Linked DNA regions of Drosophila melanogaster. The protein of the gene in region 1 purifies or fractionates together with the protein of each later gene. This does not show direct contact. Each region holds a gene or a part of one and is shown on either strand. Other genes may lie near its edges.

The links.
Region 2: the proteins of Kdm5 (region 1) and Sin3A purify together in Drosophila melanogaster (affinity purification with western blotting; 3 studies listed by BioGRID, with this or other methods). This does not show direct contact.
Region 3: the proteins of Kdm5 (region 1) and CG13367 purify together in Drosophila melanogaster (affinity purification with mass spectrometry, with the first as the bait; one study listed by BioGRID). This does not show direct contact.
Region 4: the proteins of Kdm5 (region 1) and CG3815 purify together in Drosophila melanogaster (affinity purification with mass spectrometry; 2 studies listed by BioGRID, with this or other methods). This does not show direct contact.

What each region holds. Positions count from the first base shown.
Region 1 is NT_033779.5:5,995,918-6,001,790, forward strand, and holds the start of Kdm5 (lysine demethylase 5), read right to left. Parts: upstream 3,585-5,873; 5' UTR 3,381-3,584; intron 1,848-3,380; exon of another isoform or gene 1,766-1,847; intron 869-1,765; exon of another isoform or gene 797-868; intron 615-796; 5' UTR 574-614; coding exon 1-573. Other genes in the region: Tsp26A (tetraspanin 26A), read left to right, coding at 4,395-4,682, 4,747-4,827, 4,888-5,166, 5,242-5,352, 5,560-5,676, 5,752-5,820. UniProt on the Drosophila melanogaster protein: Histone demethylase that specifically demethylates 'Lys-4' of histone H3, thereby playing a central role in histone code. Does not demethylate histone H3 'Lys-9', H3 'Lys-27', H3 'Lys-36', H3 'Lys-79' or H4 'Lys-20'.
Region 2 is NT_033778.4:12,585,360-12,591,616, reverse strand, and holds the start of Sin3A (Sin3A), read left to right. Parts: upstream 1-2,464; 5' UTR 2,465-2,901; intron 2,902-5,544; 5' UTR 5,545-5,905; coding exon 5,906-6,257.
Region 3 is NC_004354.4:642,606-647,607, reverse strand, and holds CG13367 (uncharacterized protein), read right to left. Parts: upstream 2,848-5,002; 5' UTR 2,713-2,847; coding exon 1,695-2,712; intron 1,619-1,694; coding exon 1,410-1,618; 3' UTR 1,222-1,409; downstream 1-1,221. Other genes in the region: Roc1a (regulator of cullins 1a), read right to left, coding at 1-160; su(sable) (suppressor of sable), read right to left, coding at 4,267-5,002.
Region 4 is NC_004354.4:6,292,911-6,299,902, reverse strand, and holds CG3815 (uncharacterized protein), read right to left. Parts: upstream 4,515-6,992; 5' UTR 4,398-4,514; coding exon 4,350-4,397; intron 4,194-4,349; coding exon 4,003-4,193; intron 3,940-4,002; coding exon 3,255-3,939; intron 3,195-3,254; coding exon 1,672-3,194; intron 1,601-1,671; coding exon 1,411-1,600; 3' UTR 933-1,410; downstream 1-932. Other genes in the region: CG12219 (uncharacterized protein), read left to right, coding at 1-40, 106-295, 379-606; CG15891 (uncharacterized protein), read left to right, coding at 4,850-5,299; CG15892 (uncharacterized protein), read left to right, coding at 5,765-6,093, 6,159-6,723; mldr (mulder), read right to left, coding at 6,796-6,992.

The DNA.
Region 1 (5,873 bases):
TGCGATTCCACACTTCTCAGCTATGGAGCGGATCTTGCTGATGTAGGCCAGTGGATTCTTGAACTCCTCAGTTGTGGGCCGGAACACAGGGCACTCTGGCGGCGTGTCAAAGTGGAACTCCTCGTTCTTTCCCTGGTCAAACTTGTTGCTGCTGTGCGGCTGCGTGTGGACCGACTTCTTGTGCCCAGTGGGCGCAGGCGTGGGCGTGGGATGAGGACAACTATTATGGTACTTTTTGCTGGCTGACACACTGCTGCTGGCGTGATTCATGGGAACACTGGGCATAGGCCGTTCCATTACCGCCGGAGAAATGCCTGGCGGAGCATGGGTGTGAGATCCTGTTGCTCCTGCCGGGGTGACTGGGGTCGAGGGCTCGTCGTTAGCATTGGATTTCTTTACGGACTCACTTCCACTATTAGTCCCGTTGCCCGTTGAGTTTCGGGTACGCAGACGACGTGCCGGAGTTGCTGTTCCATTCGCGGATGCGCCCCCGCCGGATGAGGTGCCGCTCCCGACTCCTCCGCCGCCGGAGTTGGCGGCCGTCGTGTTGTCCGCCTCAGTTTTGGCGGACATAGCTTTAAGATGAGTTCAGATTAAATTTATTCCGCTCGGTTCTGAAATAGAGAATAAAAGTTACGGATGAGTTCACAACTTGGTAATATTAAATTCGCTCCGGAAAGGTTGTTTTCGTTATTAGGGTTGAAAGACCTGTCCCGGTTATTTAATTATTGTGGCAGACACACTTCTTGGCAGTTTAGCTACTTTGTATTTCAGCTTCAACTACAGTACTCATTACCTAAAGTTGCTAGTAAGAAACGGCTTATTGGCAGTTTGTTTATTCTACTTTAAACGGCATAATATACCAATTAAATTCTCCCTAATTACAACGTTATTTAAATTTGACTTTTAAGCCAATGAAAGTTTATCTAAGGTTTGTTTGCAATAACTCAATAATAATTGTAGTTACTGCAGTTTATATATGTATATATATAAATATTTCAACAACTAGGGGTTACTTGTTGTTGGTAGAGCTATTATGGTGGCTTTTCAGATACACACACTCCCGCCCCGCGCCCCTTGCATTAATTAACGATTCGTTGCCCCGTCGACAGATTTAAATTGGTTAATATCCACAAGAGAACTGTCGTCTTAGTTGGACTTTCCTACCGCTCCTATTGATCGGAGAGGGAACCCCTGCGGCCCACTGTATCTACATCAAATCGCCGCACACCTGTGTGTGTGTGTATATGTGTTGTGGTGCCTGCACTCAACCCTCGCAGGTAAACAAACAACATTTACAGAGGTGAAAACTCGACTTTGCGACGGTGCAAGTGCAGTTACCAAACGATTACTTCGGTTGTGAGGTTGTATCCAGTGCCGCCGGCGGGATCGCAGGATGGGCAACTGCACTGGACCTAGGCGAAGTAATGCCTTTCTCGCATGTTTCCCTCCAGGGGGATGTGGCTTCTCCCGAGGAGTAATAGAGAGAGAGAGAGAGAGTGCAGCGGCGATTAGCCAGCAGCACTGAATTTGTTGCATACAAAAGTGGAGCACGCCAATACAGGCACAACCCCGGACACGAACACGGGGGATTTCCTGGCCGTGTGTATGTATAACATAGCGACCAATAAACTTACAAATTCGATAGCGAACATGTATACACCAAGTGTGCAAAAGGGGATTATACTTATACGCATTGTATTCAAAACATTCAGCACACAGGACCTTCATGCACACACACACACACACTAACACAAGCACATACACTGAGCAAAAGGTGAAAGCTGTTATCTACGAATTCAGCTGACGAAATCGAGAAGCGGAAACGAAGCCATGTTGAAAACCACTGTCAACTCCAACTTCCGGCTGGAGTTCCCAACAGATTTTTCGCGTTTGTCAGCTAGACACAAGGAAGCCGCCGCGACAGAGCTTTGCTTTGGTGGTTGTTGTGACGCACACACACTCTCGCACGAATGTGGGGCGCCACTGCCACTGCTGCCACCACCGAAAAGGGAGTAGAAGTGGGTGGGCAATGTGTGCCTGCCTGACTGACTGGCGGTGCGTGCGTATGTGTGTGTGTGTATAGTTTCCCGTGTGCTTGATCAGGAAGAGCCCGCTCTCGCCTAGAGAGAGCGAGATGAGCGACGACGAGTACCGTTTTTGTGTATCAAGTGAGCAAAGTACATCGTCGACAGCGACGCCGGCAGAGGCATGCTACGTTTGCTGCTCTGCTCGGGATAATGGGATATTATTTCCCTGCGAATCCGTTCCAAATCAAAATCGGTGGATTGCGATTTCGGATTATTGATTGGGCAGCACGGCGTCGTGACAAGTGCCATTTTCCAAACTGCAGCCAGCTGTTCGCTGTTAGTGTTGGACGGGGGAAACTGATTTTCCGTTCTGCGGCCGCCGATCGCTCGGAAAAGCAGCCTAAGCCGAAAGCTTCTTTTATATAATTTCCATTTTCAGCCGCGCACACACACCCGCACGCAGCTTACACGGGCACAAACAAACAGCTTACACGGACACGGGGCACGACAGACACAGGTACGCGAATACAGGCACACACATTCGCACCGAGCATGTACATAAATATGGATGGATTTGGCGAAATTAGCACTGGATATTGGTTACTTTCCAGCAGGAGCGCAAAATTTACGCATTTGCCCTGCCATATTGCACATTTCCAACGGTGGGGGGAGTGGCGGTGAGCGGAAACAGAAAAGCTGAACTGATTTTTTTTTTTGGAAGGTGACTGCAGCACTGTACTTTTCGAATAGTAACTCCCCGCGAACAGCTCGACTGGAGCTATATATTCACTATATACTTGAAAGTCACTAAACTCAGTGGCATATATTGGCTTTCCAGGCGTGGGATCACAATATTTTTCGCTATGATGGCGACCGGGCAGCGACGCAACGCACTTTGCAGCGCTGTCGCTGCTCTGCTGGCGTGTGCAATTGGTGCGCGATTTTCCGTCCGCGGTTTTCCACCGTAATCCGTTCATCCGCGACGTGGTTCCTAACCTAGCCGCGACCTGGCGTTGTCTTCTGGCCGCATTTTCACAATTATTACGGATTTTCGGAATCCCGATTGCGCTGCCAGCAGAGGGAACACACATACAAACATTTTCCACGACTAGTGCGGGGGGTTGTTTTCGCTGTTGGCCAACGCAGAGGCTGCAATCCGCACTTTTCCTGATCTATATGCACCGACTTGGCCAGGTGGGCGTCTGCGTTTTGCTAGTTTGTTCGCTTTTCGCTGCTAATTAAACGTTTTCAGCCATCAGAAGTGCCCCTAAACTCACACACTGGCACGCACACAATCGCACTGGGTTCGGGCACTGGGAACTGGGCACCCTACACTGGGCAAAAACTCACTGTCGTCATAGGAAGTCGTTGGAAGACGCGCACGCTCGGTATGTGATCGAAATGAGTGTTCCATAAAACCACCGAGCACGGCACTGGCGAGGTGGCTTTAATGCGAATTTACTTTTCTGATTTCTTTCTCCGATGTCTGCGTTTTTTCCTGCTACATGTGTCCAGTGTGACCCGTCGTCGAAGTGCCGGAAACGTCGATCTGCCCCACAAAAGTTCGGGAAAATACCAGCCACCGTCCGCGTTGTGCAGCACTGGCCTTCAAATCAAACACAGTTTCTTATCGGCGGAGGTCGACGAATCGGATCTCGTCTTATCGCCGACCCCCCGTTTATTGTTTCGTTTCTGTATTAGATTCAAAATCAGTTCGGTCATAGGCGTTACTCAGTCTAGCCGGCGCCGCGTTTAACACTATGCCGGTTCAGGGACAGGACTTGAAACATCCATAGGATCCATCGAGCATATACGCAAGGTTTCCTAAGTACGCTTTTTTAATTAATTTTATGAAATGTGTTTCAATACAGTGGTAAGCTAAAAAAAGAAAGTTTGGCATTCTACAAGAGTGAATTATATTCTAAGTTATTAATATAAGTAAGTGAGCTCTTTTATTGTTTTTAGAATACTGTGTGTTAATTTAAGCCTTGGCTTTAAGAATTTGAATTTGTATAATATATTTAAAATAACCAGTAGACATAAGTATTTAGTTAACGGTAATGCCTATGAAATTGTTGTTGCTCAACTCAACAAATCAGCAGAAAATGAAATAAATACGCAAACTGGTTTCTGTAAAATACATTGTTTATGCAAGATCAATAAAAAAAAAACAAACATCCAAGTTTTAAAGTTCGTAAGATTGAACAAAATGGCGGTTTTCTTGGGAAACGGTATTCTTTGCAACGTATTTGGAGCCGTCGCACTGCGTGATAAAAAAAGTGCAGTCACGGTCACACTGGCGAGCAGAATTTCATACGTTTTTGTTTCCTTTTGGCCATATTTATTATTGTTAAAATTGGAGCAATGCCAGCTGCTGTGCGCAAGTTCCGCCGCGAGACCAGTGAAATCAGCTGCTGTCTGAAGTACCTTTTGTTCGCCAGCAATGTGATCCTGTGGCTCTCGGCCCTGCTGGTCCTCTCCGTTGGCATCTGGGCCTGGAGCGAGAAGGGCATGTTCCGCAACATTGCGCGGCTGCACTTCATCGCCCTGGACCCGGCCTTCGTCCTGATCATCCTGGGAGGCGTCACCTTCCTACTGGGCTTCATGGGCAGCGTGGGCGCCTTGCGCGAGAACACCTGCCTCCTGGGGGCGGTGGGTACCACATTGTTAGTGGATCCCCTCTGGACCTAGTTAATCCTTATTTTTCCGCTTGCAGTACGCCATCTTCTTGAGTGTCTTGCTTATCGCAGAGATCGGCTTCTGTGCCGTGGCCTTCGTGCTCAAGGACAAGGGCTGGGTGAGTTCCATTTGAAGGCCACTATTCTAGCCAGCCATTACTAAGGTTTGCCTTTTCCAGATCAAAGACCAGGCCACCGAGGGACTCAAGGCCTTCATTCGCCACTATCGCGAGGACGCAGACCAGCAGAATCTCATTGATTGGATCCAGGAGGATTGGTTGCAGTGTTGCGGCATTGATGGTCCCAAGGACTGGGACAGCAACAACTACTTCAATTGCTCGTCTATCGCTATTGGCAGCAGGGAGGCGTGCGGAGTGCCATTCTCCTGCTGCCGCAGACGTCCGCAGGAGGTGATCAAGAACAAGCAATGCGGCTACGATGTACGCAAGGAGGGATATGTAAGTCCGCTAGCTGTTTTCCCCCGTCTTTCCGAAATGCATATTGAAATTCACCCACGAATCGTACGCATGCAGCCGGTGGATAGGAATATACATGAGCGTGGCTGCTTGCGCGCTGGCGAGGATTGGCTGGAGGCCCATCTGATTAGTGTGGCGATTGGCTGCGTGGCTCTGCTCGTCCTGCAGGTGCAAAACATTTCTATAGTCGTCGTTGTATATTTCTTTTTGAATCTTTGAAAATTTTAAGTTTAGTGTAGTTCAGATGAGAGAATCGTTTTTAAGGTGGTCCCATTTTTTTTAAAAATATGGTTTTTACTCGTAGTAGTTACATCTTTTTGTTTTATAATTTCCCACAGACTTTATATTTATTTTATTTTTTTAATTTCTTACCAGGGCATGGAGTTGTCCAAAATAATCTACGAAAAGGGCTGTGTTCAAGCAGGCGAAGAATGGATGGAGCACAACTTGATTATTATTTCCGCAACTGTTATAGTTGTGATGTTTTTTCAGGTTTCTGTTTGATTTTATTATTTTTCTCACTATGACAATAGATAGATTCTTCTTGTAACGATACACTTTTTGTAGATCTTGGGCATTTGCTTTGCTCAGAACCTGCGTGCCGATATCTACACTCAAAAGTCAAAGTGGCACTGACAAATGGCTCTGTCTGCTCCCACGGCCATTTAGAAGGACACCCAAGGTGGCGA
Region 2 (6,257 bases), on another chromosome or scaffold:
AGGTTAATAAAAATTATGCAGTCAAAAATAATACAAAAAATACCGCATCAATAAATATTGAAATAATTTTTTTAAACTCAAATTTCGCTTTTAAAATCAGTTGGCAGCTCAATGTACCCTTTTGGTGCTCGCGTATGTGTGATTGTGCACAAGGTGAGCGAGACAGCAGTTTCAGCCTTCAATTTGCGGGTTTACGTTGATTCTAATTAAATAATTCGTTGAAATCGGGCTCACTGCTTCTGTGAGGTCCAATTGTAATGCACACACACAAACACGTTCTCAGTGCTTTCCTCAAATTTTCTTTGTGAAGCGCCTCAAGTTTCGACTGGCTTTTAAGTCTGGTTTGGTTTTGGCTGTTTGAAAACTTGAAAAACAAGTTACTTCTGAACTCAAACTCCCCAGTTTTGGCAGTCTCTCCACACTTCTCTCGATCTTTCTCCCGAGAAAAAAAAAACACTTGCCGCGTCGCCAACCAATTGTTTGCAATTCGCAATTGTATTTTAGCCAGAGGCCAACGAACAAGTCTCTTGAACTTGATGGTCGGAACGAAGTTGAAGTGTATTAGACGTTGAACACTTTTACACATATTTAGTTGTAACTTTTTCAAGCCTTCATCATTATATTATTAAAACTTGAGTGTTAAACTGTATGTTTAAATATACTATGTTATCATTTCAATAAGTATTGAATTAGTAAACAACACTGAAGCCGTTGTGTTCAATCGTGTAAGCCTATTCCCAAATTTATAATCGTTATTTTAATTTAAAAACCTTTTAATTGCTCTTAATTTTGATCCAACACGCATTTTGGCTCACCGGTAAATTTGTGTATAATCTTTTACATAAAGAAGAGGGTTCTCTAATCCTTAAATGGATTTATAGTTTTGATGAGAATTAATACTAAAGTTAAATATTTTATAGTAAAGTTTTCCATTTACTGTGTTGTCAATTTTTTAGGACAAACAAACAATAAATAACAAAAAGTTTTTATCACATTAAATATCATGTGACTCAAGAGAGTTAAAAACATCTGATAATTTGCAGAACACGTACGAATATCAAACTAATTAGTTTTTTTTATAGAAATGGGTCCGTGTGACAGGAACCTCTTTACCACATTTCAGATATCACTTGATCAGCGTCAGTTAATATTTCCTAGTGCCGCATTCCATGACAGATCTGAAATTAGCACAGGAATAATTAGAACATGCTAGACCACCTGGCTTTATTATCAATAGAAAAAAGCATCAATAATACCCAATGGGAGGGCAAACAAACCTTCCTGCGGCGCCTGGAAGTCGGAGAGTTTGGTTTGTGCCATTTTTTTGTTTGGTCCAGGGACTTTGGTGCACCTCGGACATGCGCTGCACCCAGTAGCTAGTTAGTTGCATGTGAACTTTGAACTTTCGAGCTGGAAAGTGGAAGGCGGATTTGCATTTCCTATCGCTGCAGGTGTCTCACAAAGAGAGAGGCTCTCTCGTATCCTCCGCCCCCGCTGCATTTTTTTCATTGCGCAATGAGCGAGACGAATCGATAACTGCAAGGTTTCCATGTTTTAGCAGCTCAACTTTTGCGCGTATACAGATTTTTTGTCTGTATTATTTTATTTTGTGAAGGAGCTGGCCGCCGAATTCAGTTCGATTCGAGATGGGAACATGTGTTTTTATGGTTCCGCCATTGTCATGGTGAGATGCACTTGCTTTTTTTTGTCTTCATATTTTTACTTCCTCTCTCCGCACGCACGCGTCTGTGTGTGAGTGCGCTGGCGAGTGAGGTGGTGGAGGAGTACATGAGTGTGTAAAGTGTAGCCGTGGCAGAGTTGTAGCTCGCTAGTGGTCCGTTTGGTTTCTGATTTTCGGTTTCGTCGATTTCACATATGTACTGCAATGGTCGGCTAAAACGCTCTGCCGACGTCGCTATCTGCTGTATACTCGTTGCGCTTGTGTGGGTGCGCTGCTCTCACACCCGCTCTCTCTCTTTGGCTCAAACAGGGTGTCTTACCCAGATGTTCTGATCATCGTTTCCACCACATGGCTGGGTGACAATGGTACACCCTGTTTTCTAAACAACTTGTTTTCTCTCTTCCCAGCGTTGTTGTTGGTCCTCGCACTTACGTAAGCCTCACGTATTTCGTTTCTTATCCAAATTCTAAGCGCCATTTTGCGACTATTTGCATGCGGTACCGCTCACCGCTAATAAAAATAACCACTGATTGTGATTATTTGCTAATAGGTAATGAATGGTATATAAACTATTTTTGCCGTCAGCTACTGATGTGTTTTCAACGCGCTCGACGGAGGATTTTAGTTGTTGCGCCGTTGAGTTGCCACCCTGTTTTAGCTGCGGCAGCAGAATAAAATGAATTCCAAAGCAACACTGCGCGCGCGCTCTCACGCTCTCCGTTTTACACTCATTTCGCTCTCTCTGCTGACTCCAAATGACTGGCCGTCGCGTTTCGCTGTTTTAATCGAAAATGTTTGCGGCGGCGTTGAGATGTACGAAAACGTTCTCTCGCCAAAAATTTGTGAATAGAATAGCAGTAGCAATCTATCGAGAAGAAAATGTCTTAAATTCGAGCCGTGTGATCTAGTTAAGGTCTTAGAGCCAAGTGCAAATTGATTGAAATAAGCGTTAAACTTAAACTGAACTGGAGAACGAAGCCCCAGCTACTGAAAGAAAAGAAAACGGTGAAAATAAAGATTTCGGTGTGCCAGTGAGTGCGAATATAGTAGTTGCATGTGCAAAATACTGCGTAAAACGTGAAAGTTTCCAATAACACCACAAAACCAACGGCAGTTTTGTAGTAAATATACATACGCGCCCCGTACATATATACATACATTTCGAATATACATACACACAGCCGAATATCAACCGACGAAGCTAACTGCTTATTGCTGATGTAAGTGTAATATGGGCGGTGGGCGGTTGTGGGGGGCGTGAAAATTGCAGAGTAGCATTATCCTTCAAGTGCACTTGGAGTGCGGATTCGAGTTCAAACAATATTTTCGTTCGTGCCACTGAAAACTTGTGAAAATACAACATTTTTAGGTTAGGTCAATTTCAATTGGTTTATATACACACGCACGCACAAACTCACACACACACAAACAACAATGGCATAGCGAATACATATAGAAGGCGCACAGACAAAAAGTCGTCGACGGGGACGTGGTTGTTGTTTGTGTTGCTGCTGCTGCTGCCTCTACAGTTTCTGCTCTCCTCACACACAGTTGAACACAGTTGTGGAGAGGAGAGCCACACTCATACATACGCTTTGAACCATTGCTTTTGGTTCGCTTATGAACTGACTGTATTTTTTCAACGTAGTGTCGTTTTATTTTCGTTGTTGATTCGTTCTTTGCTCAGTTCGTGCGCTTATCTTGACTTTTGCTTTGATGCGCCATTCGCATGTACTGGCGAGAGCAGCCTAGTGTGAGTGTGCATTTAAATGGCTCCCCAATGAGAGCATCATTTTGTGGCCCTCTTTTTGTTCAGATCTTCCTTTTGCTCCTCTTCTTCATGCTCCCCAGCCCATCCGTCGTTTGTTGTTCTTGCTCCGCCTGTTTTTTTTCATTCGGTTTTGAATTTACACAAAACGTTTGCCGTTGCTTCTTCATGCTGAAATAGTATATATGTATGTGAATATATTGTACATATTTCTCTACACATCCATATGTTTTATTTGCAAAATTTATTAATAGCGCAGCGCCACTCCGCGGCTGTGTTAGTGCGCCAGAGTGAGAAAGTAACAGTAAAAAACTAAATATTAATTCGCGTTGATTCCGATTCGTATTGCAGTTGTTCAAAACCGAGTGCTAGTGATATTTGCAAAAAATTTAACATATTTTCCGCTGGCTGCCTTTTGTGTTGCGTATTCTGCTGTGCTGTGTATACACATAACAAAACAGATAAGATAACATTATACGTGTGCACGTAATAGAGCGGGCTGAATCAAAAAAAAAAAAAAAGAAAAAATGGAGGGAAAATTTGCCCACATGTCTCCCCAAAGCACACACACGCACACAACGCCCCAATTTGGAGCCTCTCTCGTCAAACACTCACACACACCAGCAAGCGAGTAAATGTGTTTGGTATGCACTAATGGCGGATCCAAAAATACAATAACAACAAAGACAGTTGGGAGAGCTCAAAAGAGCGAACTTGTTTTACCTTCATTTATTAAAGGATAGTTGGTGGTGGCAGAGACAGGAGAGAGAACGAGGGCTAAAGCTTTTGTGCGGCTGTACTGTGCTCCAATATTTGTTTACAAATGCTAAAAGGGGGCAGCTGTTGGTTCGATGGGGTGTTTCAATTAGTTGGAGCAGGATGATCCTCTAGGCGGTTTCCATTCACCTAATATTTGCTCGCGGTCTTTGGTTTGCGCAGCGTTGCGCTCTCTTCATTTTTGCCGCTCTCTCTCTCGAATGCCCGCCAAATGCTTGCTGTGTCCGTGTGTGAGTTTGGCCCCAAACGGGTGAAATACCTTTTTGAAAAAAAAAAAATCATCCATATACTGCGCCTCAACAACAAATGCGGCTCTCTCTGGTTCTCTCTGTGGCTGCACCACCACCACCGTATCGCCACCACCACCTTTGCATTGTTGCGTTTGCTGCTGCTGTTACCTCTGACTCTTCTTCTTCTTATTCTTGTAAGTTGTAGATACAGAACATGTACCAGCAGCTCTCACACACCACCCGCCCGCCCCCTTGGCGGTATCGATATATAAATATTTTCTATGTGTGCGTCTGAATTCTATGCAAGCCGATGTCGTGCATGGGGCATTTGGCACCTTCCACATTCACAAATACTGATATGTACACACATACACACACACTCGGAGGTGTACACAGAAAGCTCGCTTAGGAAGTTTTTACTGTACCGCTGAAAGCAATAACAAAGCGCGCGCCCAATTCCGGTTGAACGTACACACACTAAAGTGAATTACGCGCTCCTCCTTATGCCTTGCACTCACTCTCCTCCAAGACTCAACTTCCACTCCACGATCTCCTTCCCGTCTATATGTATCAATCTCTGGTTGCTGTTGTTGTTATTGGTCACAGCTCCACTGCTTCATTCCATTCCTATTGTCCCTCATCTCACTCTTCTCCCCCGAATCCAGAACACCCAATACAGAGACACCGTTCTCCACTCTGTAGTTTTTGTGATACGGCTAAAAGAAGAATTCCCCCGTGGCTTTTTAGTTCACCTTTTTTCTTGTTGAAATATGCAATCGTTCCGATATCTGTGAAGATATAGACCGAATTGATCAATCAGCTGTGCTATACTAGCTAACATGTTTTGGGAAAATTAGCAAGACTCGTGGTCTTTAATATATGGAAAAGTATATTTGGCATATTTGTCCTTTCATTTCAGTGTCAGTGAATAAATTCTAGTATTAATGTGTAAGATTGTTCCAGTAATGCAGAATTTAATGATGACTAACTTCATTAAAAATAGACCCAAACCTAATTCTTGGGGGTTTTTATACATTTAATGTCGACATTATTGTATGACCGTTTCCCTTCTCTTGCTTTGCTTGCAGTGATATTCAGAAAGAACTCCAAACGCTACGTGGCAGAGGCGAATCACCGGCGCAGCAACACCAGCAGCAGATAACCAGCCGTCAGTCCAATTTCTCTACCTTAGAACTCGAGCGCATTTGCCGCTTGCGGGGCGACCAAATGCATAGACAACATATGTCGCATTCACGAGCAGTCCAAGATCAAGAGTTGCGACCCCGACCGTTTGTTGCATATTACATACGCTCATAGAGGGCGGCCACTCACCTAGAGCAGCCAGAGTCCTTGCACTTGGGCAGGGATCCAGGGAGCAACAAAGTGCTTAGAAAGAAGAAGCAGCAGCACAGGATTATACGCTCCGCCGAGGACAGAGCAACAAAAAAGATGATGAAACGCACTCGCGTAGACGAGGTGCAATTTGGCACACGACCCGTTCCTCAGACCTCCGGAGGTGTGGGCGTTGGTGTCGTCGGCGTAACTGGAGGTGGGCCAACATCCGGCGGCGGTGGCACTGCTACTGTGGGCGTCAATACGACGGGCGTTACCATTGGTACCGTCGTGCCCAGTGCTCATAACGCCACCATCAGCGGGATCGGTTCCATTCACCATCGCATCCTTACTCCACAGCATGGAGGAGCACAAACCATTGCCTATTTGCCGTCCACCACGCCGACGGCTACGAATTTGAAGACCACAACCTCGATTGTGGATAGCACTACCGCTGGAGGACCAGTAG
Region 3 (5,002 bases), on another chromosome or scaffold:
GTTTTCGGCGAAGCGGAAAGGATGAAGTGTTACCATCAGTACATTCATTGACAATGACCCTGCTTTTTTGCTGACCACTTACCTTCTTCACCTCAAAGCGCTTCTTATCGCCCTTGCTGCTGCTGGAGGGAACCTCGTATCCATCCTCGTCGACTTCCATGGTGGAAATACACCTATTTATCCTGACAAAACTCTCGCAACACAAATGCAATTTTCACAACTAACGTAGTTTTGGCTTTTCTGTCCCTATCCTTTTCGTTTTAATAGAAAACCACTCGCAGTGAGGCTCAAGCAGTGTGACCGCCGCTTTTTCTCGTAAAGGTGGCGAAACATCGATGCCAACATCGATGGCGTCGATGGTATCGATGGTATTTACTGCACATCGGAGAAGATATGTGTATATATTGTAAGTATAAATTGTAAGTTCCATATTTTTTAATAGAATTATTAATAACATATCGCAAATTTAGTGTGACTTGCTGGTGGTGTTGGCTGATGTCCTGAAAGACGTGGATAAATATCTGAAATTTAAGTTTTTAACTCCTGAATAAGGAGGGATGAAGACGTAGACGACAATAAGTTTATGTTTAGTTAAAATACTGCCTTTTTTATTTAGTCAATATTAAAAAAGAAAATAATATTTAAATTAAACAGATAATTTTTTTGTTTTTATTTAAAACATCGATGTTTAGAACAACATGTTTAAAGAATATGTTTAAGACTTTGATATTTTTCGCCAAATCGGAAACATCGATGTTTCTCCACCACTATTTTCTCGTCTAATTCAATAACGATTCCGATTCGTGTCGATAACCTTTTGGTATCTTAATCAAAATTTTTAATGTTTTGTTTATGGTATACCGATCAAATTGCAAAAAAGTAAAATCGAAGAAAAATCAAAACATTTTTCAAAAGTATATGCGTGGCAGTTTTGGGCGGTTTGTGGGCGTGGGAATTAGTTTTTTGCAATTCAAACAGGACTTATAACAAAATTTTAAAAATATCAAAACATTTTTCAAAAGTGCGCGCGTAGCGTTGGACGACACTAAACTGGGCCACATGGGTCAACAAACTTGCGCTGCGACTGTCTGTTTTATAGTTCCTGAGATTGAGGCGTTCATACGGTCAGACGGACATGGCCAGTTCGACTCGGCTATTGATCCTGATCAAGAACATATGTTTATACATGTATACTTTATAGGTCGGAAACGCTTCGTTATCCATAATTACAAAATTGTATTTTATTCATTAATTGCTGATTGAGTTCAGTTGGTACTACAGTACATCAAGTACTTTTTGAATTATTTTCTGTTCGGCAAGTAGCCCGTTTACGAAGAGTAAAAGTTGCAATAAATTAGATTTTTCAAATTCAGGGCTCCGGCCATCCTGCCCTTGAGCCACCTCTTCTGCTAGGAGGCACCGCCCGCTTTGTGGCCACTGCCCTTTTCCCGCTTGACTATCGGCAGCCGCGTCCAGATGTAGCCGCCCGATCTCTGGGCAGTGTACTCATCCACGTCCGGCAGGGGAAACGGGGTGCTCCGGTCGAAGTAGTAGTTGCTGGGAGCATGCATCACGAACTCTAGGTAGCAGAGCTTCCGGGACAGCTCCTCATCGGGTCCTGCAGGCACGGGAGTTAAGCAAAAATACAATTTAAAAAACTTTGGGTAGCAGGCAGGAGGACAGGACTGACATACCGATTAGGTAGGTAGGGGGATCGAAGCCCTCCTGGGGATCCGGACTGTCCTGCGTGGGAATCAGCCAGGTGAGGAAGGCGGACTTCTCGCAATAGGCGTCCACAAGCAGACCGCGTATCTGGGCGTAGTACAGATTCTGCTCGCTGTCCACAATGCTGACGATATCCCCGATTTGTATATAGCTGCCCTTGTGGAAAAGGCTTCTCACGAACCTGGTGCTCGCCTGCACCTTGGGAGTTTTCTGTGCTGGTTTCTTGAAGAGAGCGCGGCGATTACGGGCTCCAGTGGCCCCGCCTGTGCCCGCTGGACCGGACTTCCCATGCTTGTTGGTATTACTGGGATGGGCGCCAGCGCCCGCGAGGTGCACGGAGCTGCCGGTGGAACCATTCGCCCCGCTATTGTGGCCATTTGACTGGCTACTGCCGCTTCCGGGAGTGCCCTTGCCCGTTTGCTTGGCCTTGAAGCGCGTGCTCTTTCGCAGACGCTTTATTATCGTTGGGGAGCGGGTGGGCGCCTGGTTGGCTGTGCCATTTAGACTGCTACGGGTGATCTTGCCCGCAGTTCTCTGGCTGGGATTCGCTGCTGTCTCCGGCGAACTGGGCGCGACTTCCTCCTGAGCCTGCGGCTGCGGCGGCGGCTTCACTGGCTTGTCCTCCTCCTCGATTTTGATGGCTGTCGGATTGCTGGGCGGTTGCACGGAGCCGTCCTCCAGTGGCTTCTGGTCCTGCGCGTCCTTCTGCTCCTCCTCCTCTTTTTTCTCCCGTTTCGTTTTGGAATCCATCGGCTGCTCCAGCTCGGCCACCGTTGGCATCCGTTCGCTAGTGGTAAGATCGTTGTCTATCTCCATGTCCACGTCCATGTCGGTGGAGTCCTTCTGTGGCTCGCAGGAATAGGAGGGAGCTGCGACAATGGAGGCCAACGCCAGATCTCCAGCGGCTTCTGCTTGGAGGCCGTCGCCTGCGGTTGACACCTGGTACATGGGACTGACGCACTTGTTTAGGTCGGCGTCGGTTGACATGGCTAATCCATGCCCTTATTCAGGTCGTAGTGATTTTTAAAACAATAAATGCTTCAATGTGCTTGTTCTGCTATGCAAAACAACGTAATTTGTGTAGTATGTTTTTGTTAAACCAGTGTTGCCAGACCGGATCGGCGGGGGCTGCCAGGTAGCCAACTGTGCTCTGACTAATGCAGCCCTGGTTTTTTTAGGAATTCAAAATAGAAAGAAGAAATACCGGTGGAGATTCCATATTCAATTTCTCGCCAGTGGCGTTTTGTTAGATTTCCCTATCAATTTCGTTGGTAAAAGAACGTTGACCGTTGAACGTTCGGCCACCGTTGGCATCCGTTCGCTAGTGGTAAGATCGTTGTCTATCTCCATGTCCACGTCCATGTCGGTGGAGTCCTTCTGTGGCTCGCAGGAATAGGAGGGAGCTGCGACAATGGAGGCCAACGCCAGATCTCCAGCGGCTTCTGCTTGGAGGCCGTCGCCTGCGGTTGACACCTGGTACATGGGACTGACGCACTTGTTTAGGTCGGCGTCGGTTGACATGGCTAATCCATGCCCTTATTCAGGTCGTAGTGATTTTTAAAACAATAAATGCTTCAATGTGCTTGTTCTGCTATGCAAAACAACGTAATTTGTGTAGTATGTTTTTGTTAAACCAGTGTTGCCAGACCGGATCGGCGGGGGCTGCCAGGTAGCCAACTGTGCTCTGACTAATGCAGCCCTGGTTTTTTTAGGAATTCAAAAACGTTCAACGGTCAACGTTCTTTTACCAACGAAATTGATAGGGAAATCTAACAAAACGCCACTGGCGAGAAATTGAATATGGAATCTCCACCGGTATTTCTTCGACCGTTTATATTATTAGTACATTAGATTCGATGGCAAGTGTGTATATAAGGTAGAATTGCGCTATACTGCTATTTTTAGTTCGAATTCGCAGAAGATGTCATAATTTAAGCGTAAACGTAAACATATACCTTGTAGGAACTAAATTAAAAATGGTCGAGAAGCCAATTCAGAATTTAGCATCGATAAGTACGCAAAAGCTTTCTAAAGAGTTTAGGTGTAGTTTCGCACGCTTTCAAGAGCTATTCATTTCTTTCTGCTCCTCCGGGACGGCCCAGCAACCTAAGCATGGCACATTACTTAAAAGATGTCATTTATTTTGAGTTCGTACGTCTAGTTAATCAATGTAGTACTCGCGCTATTGAACAAATTATCCTATATAATTTAAAAAAGTTTGTTAAAAAGGGCTGCGCATACCATTCTGCTTCACTTTTCGTTCTTACTCCGGATTGTTTTGTTATTTACTCTTTACTACTCGTATAGCTAATAAGATCCTTACACCTAGCGAAAAAAATAGTGACAATAATGGGGATTCGGGAATAAAATACATTTACAAGGAGTCATGCCTGGATTTTCGGGGAAGGTGCGCGGAAAACCACGAGTTTTCCACGACGTATGGTATGGTTGGGGGAAAGGGTCATGTGGCATAGCATCGCTTTAAGATCATTGGGGCAAAAGGGCTCCTTTTGCGTTTGTGTTTTCGCAACGCATGGGCCTTTAAATGTTGCGGTTTCGGTGGTTGCCGCCTCGCTGGTTGCGATTGTTTCCGTTGCCGTTTCCGCCTGATCCTCCGCCCGGAAAGTGCCCTCCTCTGCCGCCATTATTGTTGAAGTTATTGAAGCCCATGCCCATGTTGCCCATTGAATTCATGTTGTTCATGACGCCAGCTCCTCCCCCATTGTTCCCACCAAATGGGTTGAAGGGATTGCCATTGGGCACAGGTCCTCCTCCTTGGTTTATCCCCAACTGGCCAAGTCCTCCCAGATTGCCAACGCCCTGGTTTAATCCATTGCCATTCGGAGGCATTCCCATCAATCCTCCGCGTGGCGGTGGCTGATTGAAAGGGGGTCCCACGTTGCCCATTTGCATCATCATTCCCGACATGCGAAGCATTCGTATGTTCGGTGGCGGTAGCCTTAACATTTGGCTCAGATTTGGTGGGGGTTGCGATAGATTGGGAAGCACTACTCCTCCTCCTCCTCCTCCTCCTCCTACTCCGCCTCCAGAATCTCCGCCGCCACCAAGAGCAGCACCATTACCGTTGGGCTCCTCGGGAATCTGCACCACCTCGCCATTGTCATCTACAAAGATAAAGAGCTTGGCAAAGATCTGCTGCAACGTTGTGTTGTTCACTATAAAGCTGACATCGAAAATTTTCGGAGCATCATTCGGCAGCTGATGGAACTTCTTGAGCTCGGTAAAGACCAGGGCGAGCTGTTGGTTCACCATAATC
Region 4 (6,992 bases), on another chromosome or scaffold:
CGACAACGACAACTGGGACAATGATGGCGCATCCCTATGGGTAAGTCGATTGGATACTCCAGCAGCAAGCAGCAAGCAGCAAGCTTACTAACGAATCTCTTACAGCAACCACCCGCCTTCAGAGACGGATAAACGACCGGCGGCTCCGCTGCAGGCTGTCATCCATGCGGCACCCGTTTCGATCATTTGTCCCAATTGCGGTGAGCTTCCTGGCCAGAATCATCGCTGCCTGAGCAAGCCCAAGTACGCATGCGATGTGTGCGGCAAAAGCTTCAAGATGAAGCGATATTTGGAGGTGAGTACTGCACTGCCTTGCATTGTTTCAGTTATCCGCAGCTGCATGGATACCACTAATGATAATGAATTCTTCTGCGGCAGGAGCACTTTGCCACGCACACGGGCGTCAAGCTGCACACCTGCGCCTTCTGTCCCACGGAATTCCGCTCCAAGTCGAATATGTACCATCACACTAAGCGCAAGCACAAAGCGGAATGGGAGAGATCGCGAGCCACGCGCTCGGCGGCCAAGGCTGGCGTCCAGGAGCAGATGCAGCACACCAACCCGTCACAGGCACAGGCTCAGCCGGGTCCTGCGGCCGCACTCTAGGATGGCAGCCGGCACCTGGACGCGGTGCATGCGTAGTCTTAGATCTTTACAATTACAAATATATACATATATATTTTTTGCATATTAGCCATACCGAATGTACTTATCCGACGTTTCGTGTACTCCACAAAGTCAAGGCGTCCCGCCGCCTGGCACCTATTGTGTATACTCTTCTCGTTCTCTATAATGCCTTAACCAGTTGGATTTGATCTGGTTATAAAGTAAACACATTCATTTCAAAAGAAACTAAAAGTCATGTGCACTTATTGGGCGGGGCTTACTGCTAATTGGTGGCTCCATCGATCCATTTGCATGTGAAAAAATCTCTGATCTTACAAGTTTATTTCGTTTTAGCAATTTATACATCTGTTTTTACAATAAAAGTAAAGTATGCGATGCGGGTTTATGCGATTTATGAACGTAATGGTTAATTCAATAAATACGGCGTTTGATACCAGAGATCCACTGCCCACTGGCATGGATCAGCCTGCAGCCGTGCACATCCGTGGTTTGTACTCCGTATTTATTGCACTGGTCATAAGGCAAATATATACCCTTAATGCTGGATGGGATTGGAGGATTGTGTGATTTAAAAGTACTGCCGAGGCTTTGCATTGCGATGATTGATGCGATGAAGTTGAACTGGTATCTGCTAACCCTAACCCTATGCCTGGCTGCTAGCTGCCCCACTGAGATTGGTGCTGCTCCACTGGAGTTGGCTGCGGTTGAGCGCGTATATGTTTCTGTGTCTTAATGCTTAAACTAAAGGCTGCTGCTTCTGCTGATGGAGTCTGGGTACTGGTTCTACGAACGCTTGCTGCGCGCCTGCGCCTGCAGCAGATCCACCGACGGCACGACAAACACAAACGACAGGCAACCGAATCGCAGCAGGCTGCCGTGAGCCAGCACCGCCGATCCCTCCCAGGCGCCATCCACCATGGGCACTGGTCCGGCGTTCATGCAGCGGCAGGCGGGCTTAACAATGGGCGCCAATCTGCGGGGAGATTAAATCAACAAGTGGTTATCATCATCATTGGGTAAGTTGGGCAAATAAACTATAGCTACCGTTCTTTGTCGATTTTCTTCGTCTCGAACTGGCGATTAATGTTCCGACGCTTGTCCAGCATCTCATCGACGCGCTTCTTCAGCTCCGCATCGTCAGGTCGCATCGGCTTGCCGGCGTGCGTTGTCATCCTTTCGGTCACGTCGCAGGCATACAGCTGTCCATTCACCTCGGTGCCAAACTCTGAGTAATTGATCAGCTCGTACGACTTGGAGAATTCGTCGTAGAAGATGATGGCGTGCTGCGGTGAAATGCGACAACAGTAACCAATGGCCGACAGGTCCACGGTCTCCGTTTGCGCCAGCGTCGTCGATGGCGAATAGTGTCCACCGTAGCCAATGTACAGCGTGCGGTAGCGCATGAAAATCGAATGGTCCAGCCCCAGCGAACTGAACCAGCGGCTATCCTCGAGCATGTCGCCCAGTGGCGTTATCACCGCACGCGCCTGCACTTTGCACTGCAGCAGCTTGAGCTCCAGGCGCGATGCCAGCTCGTATGCCTTCTCCGTGTCGCTACGGGCACGCGGCGCATAGCTTTCGGCAGCGGCATCTGCTGCTGCAATGGCCGCCGCTGTGGCCAGTGCCGGATGCAGGGCCGTTGCGGGATCTTCGTCGGCGGCATTGCCATTCTTTTGCGCCAGAATTGAGGACGTTTCGCTGGTGAAGAGCAGCGAGAAACGGTTCATATCCTCCGGCGCCAGTTGGCCTTGCAGGGCAGCAGTTTCGCCAGCCACATGTGTGCCATCGACTGACGCCAGTTGACGCAGGCGACGAGCGGCCGTGCGATTCTTGTACTGTGTCACAATCTCCGGATGCTCTTCGACCAGCTGCTGCAGACGCTGGTGCGCCAGCTTCTTGATTATATCGACGTCCAGGTGTAAGAGGTCTGCATCGATAATACCCGTTGATTTCTTGCTGTCCTCCTCGTCCTCCTCGAAGCTAGCCTCCACCTCTAGGCTGGTCTTGGACTCCACCTTGACAACCGACGGCTGTTCGCTGGCCTGCGCATTCGATTCTGTATTGGGATTCTCCGTATCCACTTCGCCATTCACTTTATCGGCGGGAGTGTTCGTCTCGGTCCTTTTCTCTTCAGGACTGGGATCGCTGTCGCTATCGCCATCTATGGCCGTCTCCAAGGTTCCGAATTCCCTCTGAATCTCACGGAATTTGGCGTGAGCCGTGCGCAAGGCCTCCAGATCCTTGAGCAGCGATTCGGTGACCGACTCACGGGATATCTCCTCGACTTCGGTGGGCAGGTTATTGCGCCGCTTTACCCGATCGTAGCGCAACGTTTGGCGCATGGAGGGCAACAGCGGCGGCGGATGATCGTAGTGGTAGCGCACAATGGCTGGCACCTCGATGTGGGCGCGAGCACGCAGATTTCTCTTGGTGCGAAAGGGCGGATTGCGCGTGTTGACACGCCGGAAGAACTCAAGCTTGACATTTTCATGGTCAAGTGGCTGGTGGAAGCGATTCCAGAGACGCACCCGCTCCGTGGCCGAAATGCTATTGGTCATATTGGCATCCTGTGAACAGACATCCTCATTAGAACCCAAGCAGACCTCCATGTGCGTTGGCTGACTTACGATAAAATTCTCGGCATGATTGGGGCACATCCACAATCCAGCTGGCAGTGCCGTCAGTGGCGGATCCAGGCAATCCTGGTGAAAGTAGAGCGGACAGTAGTCGCAGGAGATGAGCGGCGCCCGTTTGCAGGAGCGCGTGCAGTAGAAACAGGTTTTGGCGGGCAGCGGCACCAGTCCCTGGGCATCCAGCTCAAACGGCTTGGAGTTGCGTCGCTGATTGCCGGCGCATCTGCGATTACCGCCATTTCCGCTCGGCGGATGCGTCTGCTGTACGGGTTGCACCTTGCCATTGCCCGGGAACTGGGTGTGCAGCTCGAGCTCCGGCGGCAGCGAGAATTGCTGCGGATTCATCATGGTGGCCGCCCTGATGACATCGTCCAGCGGCGTTGGCTTCTTGTTCGGATCGAGGGCGCGCTGTATGGACATCGGCATTTTGGCCAGCAGCTTCTCGGTGCTATTGCGTTCGCTGTTGCTGCGTTTGCGCAGGTTGCGGATCTTCAGCGGTATGGACTCCAGATCGCCAGACGATGGAGTATTCGCCCGTGAGCCACTGCCCGCCGAAGGCACACGCTCCACGGAACTGGCCTTGGATGAGGAGGCCGGCGGCTGGGAGAGCTTGCTCATGCGACAGCTGTGGCACAGCCACTGGCCACTGGGTATGTCCTCCTCGCTCAACGGTGGATCACTGTGGCGAAAGCACGAAATCAGCACTCAAAATGAGCAGCTATATGCGCGTGTATATACTCACTGGCATTGCAGGTGGAAGCTGGAGGGGCATCGATCGCAGCACAGCAGATTGCCGCCCTCCTCGCAGGCGTCACAATAGTCGTGGTTGTGGCCCCTGCCCGGGCGCCTGTAGTACGGATGCTTCGTGTTGGTGGACCGCTGCATCATCTTCTCGTCCTCGTTGGGCGGCGGGCGGATGAGCTGCTTGATTTGCTGCGCGAAGTAGTAAAGTTATGTTAAATGTGGGAAATGGAGACAGTTGTGAATGCGTTAATGTGGCAGCTCTAGAGTAGCCACCGCCGATTGGAATTGGAGCTCCGGGCAGTGGACACACTGAAGCTCTGAATGGCGTCCCGGCGGCACACTCACCTCCATGATGCTCAGTGAGGCGTTCGGGTCCTGGTCCAATTTTGACATCTTTTTCGCTCGCTCCTCTTATCCGGTGTACACAATCAATCTCGGAGCGACTTCACTTGGCGACGGAGGCGGGCGCAGTGTCGGTTGTCCAGCCCTGCGCATCCGACGAGCGAATGGCCACACTGCGCGCCCACCGATAGGCGATTAACGGAAATTCAGTGCAGACTGCATTTCACTCCAAATCTAACTACTTGCAATTAATAAAGTTTATATTGGGTATACACATTCGTAACCGAAAAATACCCAAGCAAACAAATAGTTAAAAATTAAATACCCAAAATTCTCATATTTCGCTCAGACCTCACTATAGACACCTATATGTTTACATCTTTTGGGCACACCACTAGCTAGCACTCGCTGTTTTGGACCAACGCCCGCTAAAAGAGCATCACAGCTGGCGGACGACGCAATTTGCCAGTTGATTTTACCAAACAATAGAACAAAATAGTGCAATGTTTTCGATATTTGGCAAACGCAAGCCCGCGGAAACGCCCACGGATGACCAGCCCATCCAGGGACCGGCGGAGGCAACCCGTCCAGGCACCAGTGTCGATGATTTCGTGTTCATAGAGCGCAAACCAGTACCGGATGCTCCTCATCCGGGTGTTCCAGCCGGCTCCATGTATCCACCTATGCCGCCAGCGGGCTATCTGCCCTATCCGCCGATGCCAGGACCGCGCAGCGATCAAGTGAAGCAGCCCGGAGCCCAAGGACCCGTCAATTACTTGCAGGACATTCCATTCGAGCTGGCACCCGGATTGGCCAACAAGGATCGCTACACCAGCACCCAAATGCAGGTGGACAGCATATTGGCGCTACTAACGCGCCAATTGTCCGTGGACGAGCTGGCCGAGGAGTACACCTTCGCCCTGGAGCGATCCGTGCAGAACGAGTGTTACTAGCTTTAGATCCATAGATCCACTGGTTAATATTCATACATTACATTACATTACATATAATAAAACGTTGCTTATTTAATTGTAAACCACATATGCAGTGCTCTTTTGCTTGTTAGTGGTGTGAGTCATTGGAATTCCTTAATCTTGTTGCCATACAATTAATGTTCCATTTCTTTGAAAACATGTAGAACTTTTCTGACTATCAAGTAGTCCTTTGGTTTTACCTCGCTCACATTTCAACTGGGACTGCTCATAAGGTGATCCACTATCGCAGCGTGAATACATAAAATTGTTAGTGCTCCCGTTTACCCAAATTTTTCGTACACAAAAAAGATTTCGAAACATTATTTTGTGTTTATAAGTAACCAAGTTCAAAGCTAAATTTCCAATACGTACAAATTTACCAAGCCGAGACGAGCCGTTCCGTTTCGTTTCGTTTAGTTCAGTTCCGTGTAGTACTCTTCAGCCATGGCCAGCTCCAATGTCTCGGATTGGGATGAGCCGATGCCCACGTCGACGGAGTCGCTGCCCGAGGAGGAGGATCCGGATGTGTGCGCAGAGGAGAACGTAAAGAAGCGGCGGGAGGAGGAACTGGACAAGCTGGAGTTGTATGTGCGGCGCATGGCCTACCAGCCGACACTGCCGCCCAAGGTAAAGCCCTACGACGTGGCCCTGTCCAAGCCCAAGTTGCACACGCTCATCGACAACTACGAGCAGTTCAAGGATGTATACGATCCGAAGCTGCGGGCCAAGCGGATCAAGCGCATGCTGGGCAAATACAAAGCCATTACCACGGAGTAAGTGCAGCGCTTGCATCAGTTGCTAACGCGATCTAATCATCTCATCTCATTCCCAAAAACAGACAGCTGGAGCAGATCCTTAAGAGCAACAAGACCAAGGAGCGAAAGAAGGAGGATTTCCTGAAGCGCAAGCAGGAACTGTACTACAACATGCTGACCAAGCTGGAGCGCCAGTGCCGCACCCAGTACCTGAACGTGCTCATCAAGAAGTTCGCCAAATTCATTTCCCATCTGGCCACAACGATGCGCATTCCGCCGCAGCTGGTGGATCCGTATGCGCGCATGCAGCGCGGCATCTTCTGCAACATCCTGTTGGCCATTGGTGTGCAGCCCACCTCACAGTCGGCCATCTACTACACCAGCCAGGATGCCATCGAGTACGATGTGTGCCATCGCCTCGCGCACGCGCTGCTCAGTTTGATCATTAAGGCGCTGGACTCGGCAGCCACAAGGGATCCCAACGAGCTGGCCAAGCCGGCCGACTTGGACTTCGAGATGGACAATCACATCAAGCGTCGGCTCATGTGCGCCGCCGAGAAGAAGCTGCTGTACGAGCGCCGTCGCAAGAAGCCCCAGCCGCAGGGTCTTGGAGCCTTTGAGAAGTGCACCCGCTATGACTGCGACTAGGACGGCTCCTTCAGTGTATTCGTGTTAACATTTGGCTACTATTTATTCGCATAAGAAGTCTTGCTCACATGGTCACCTCGTTGTTTTGGTCTTGGTTTTGGTGGCGGGTATCGTCTGCTCCTTCATCTGGATGCACAGCCAGTTGGCGGGCACCTCGAAGCTGTCTGTGGGATGCGGCGTGTACTGCGCGCAGTAGGGCACATGCCAGGTGTCCGCCACTTGGTGGGCACACAGCCGATGACGAACGGGCTCCTTGACTATAATCTGAC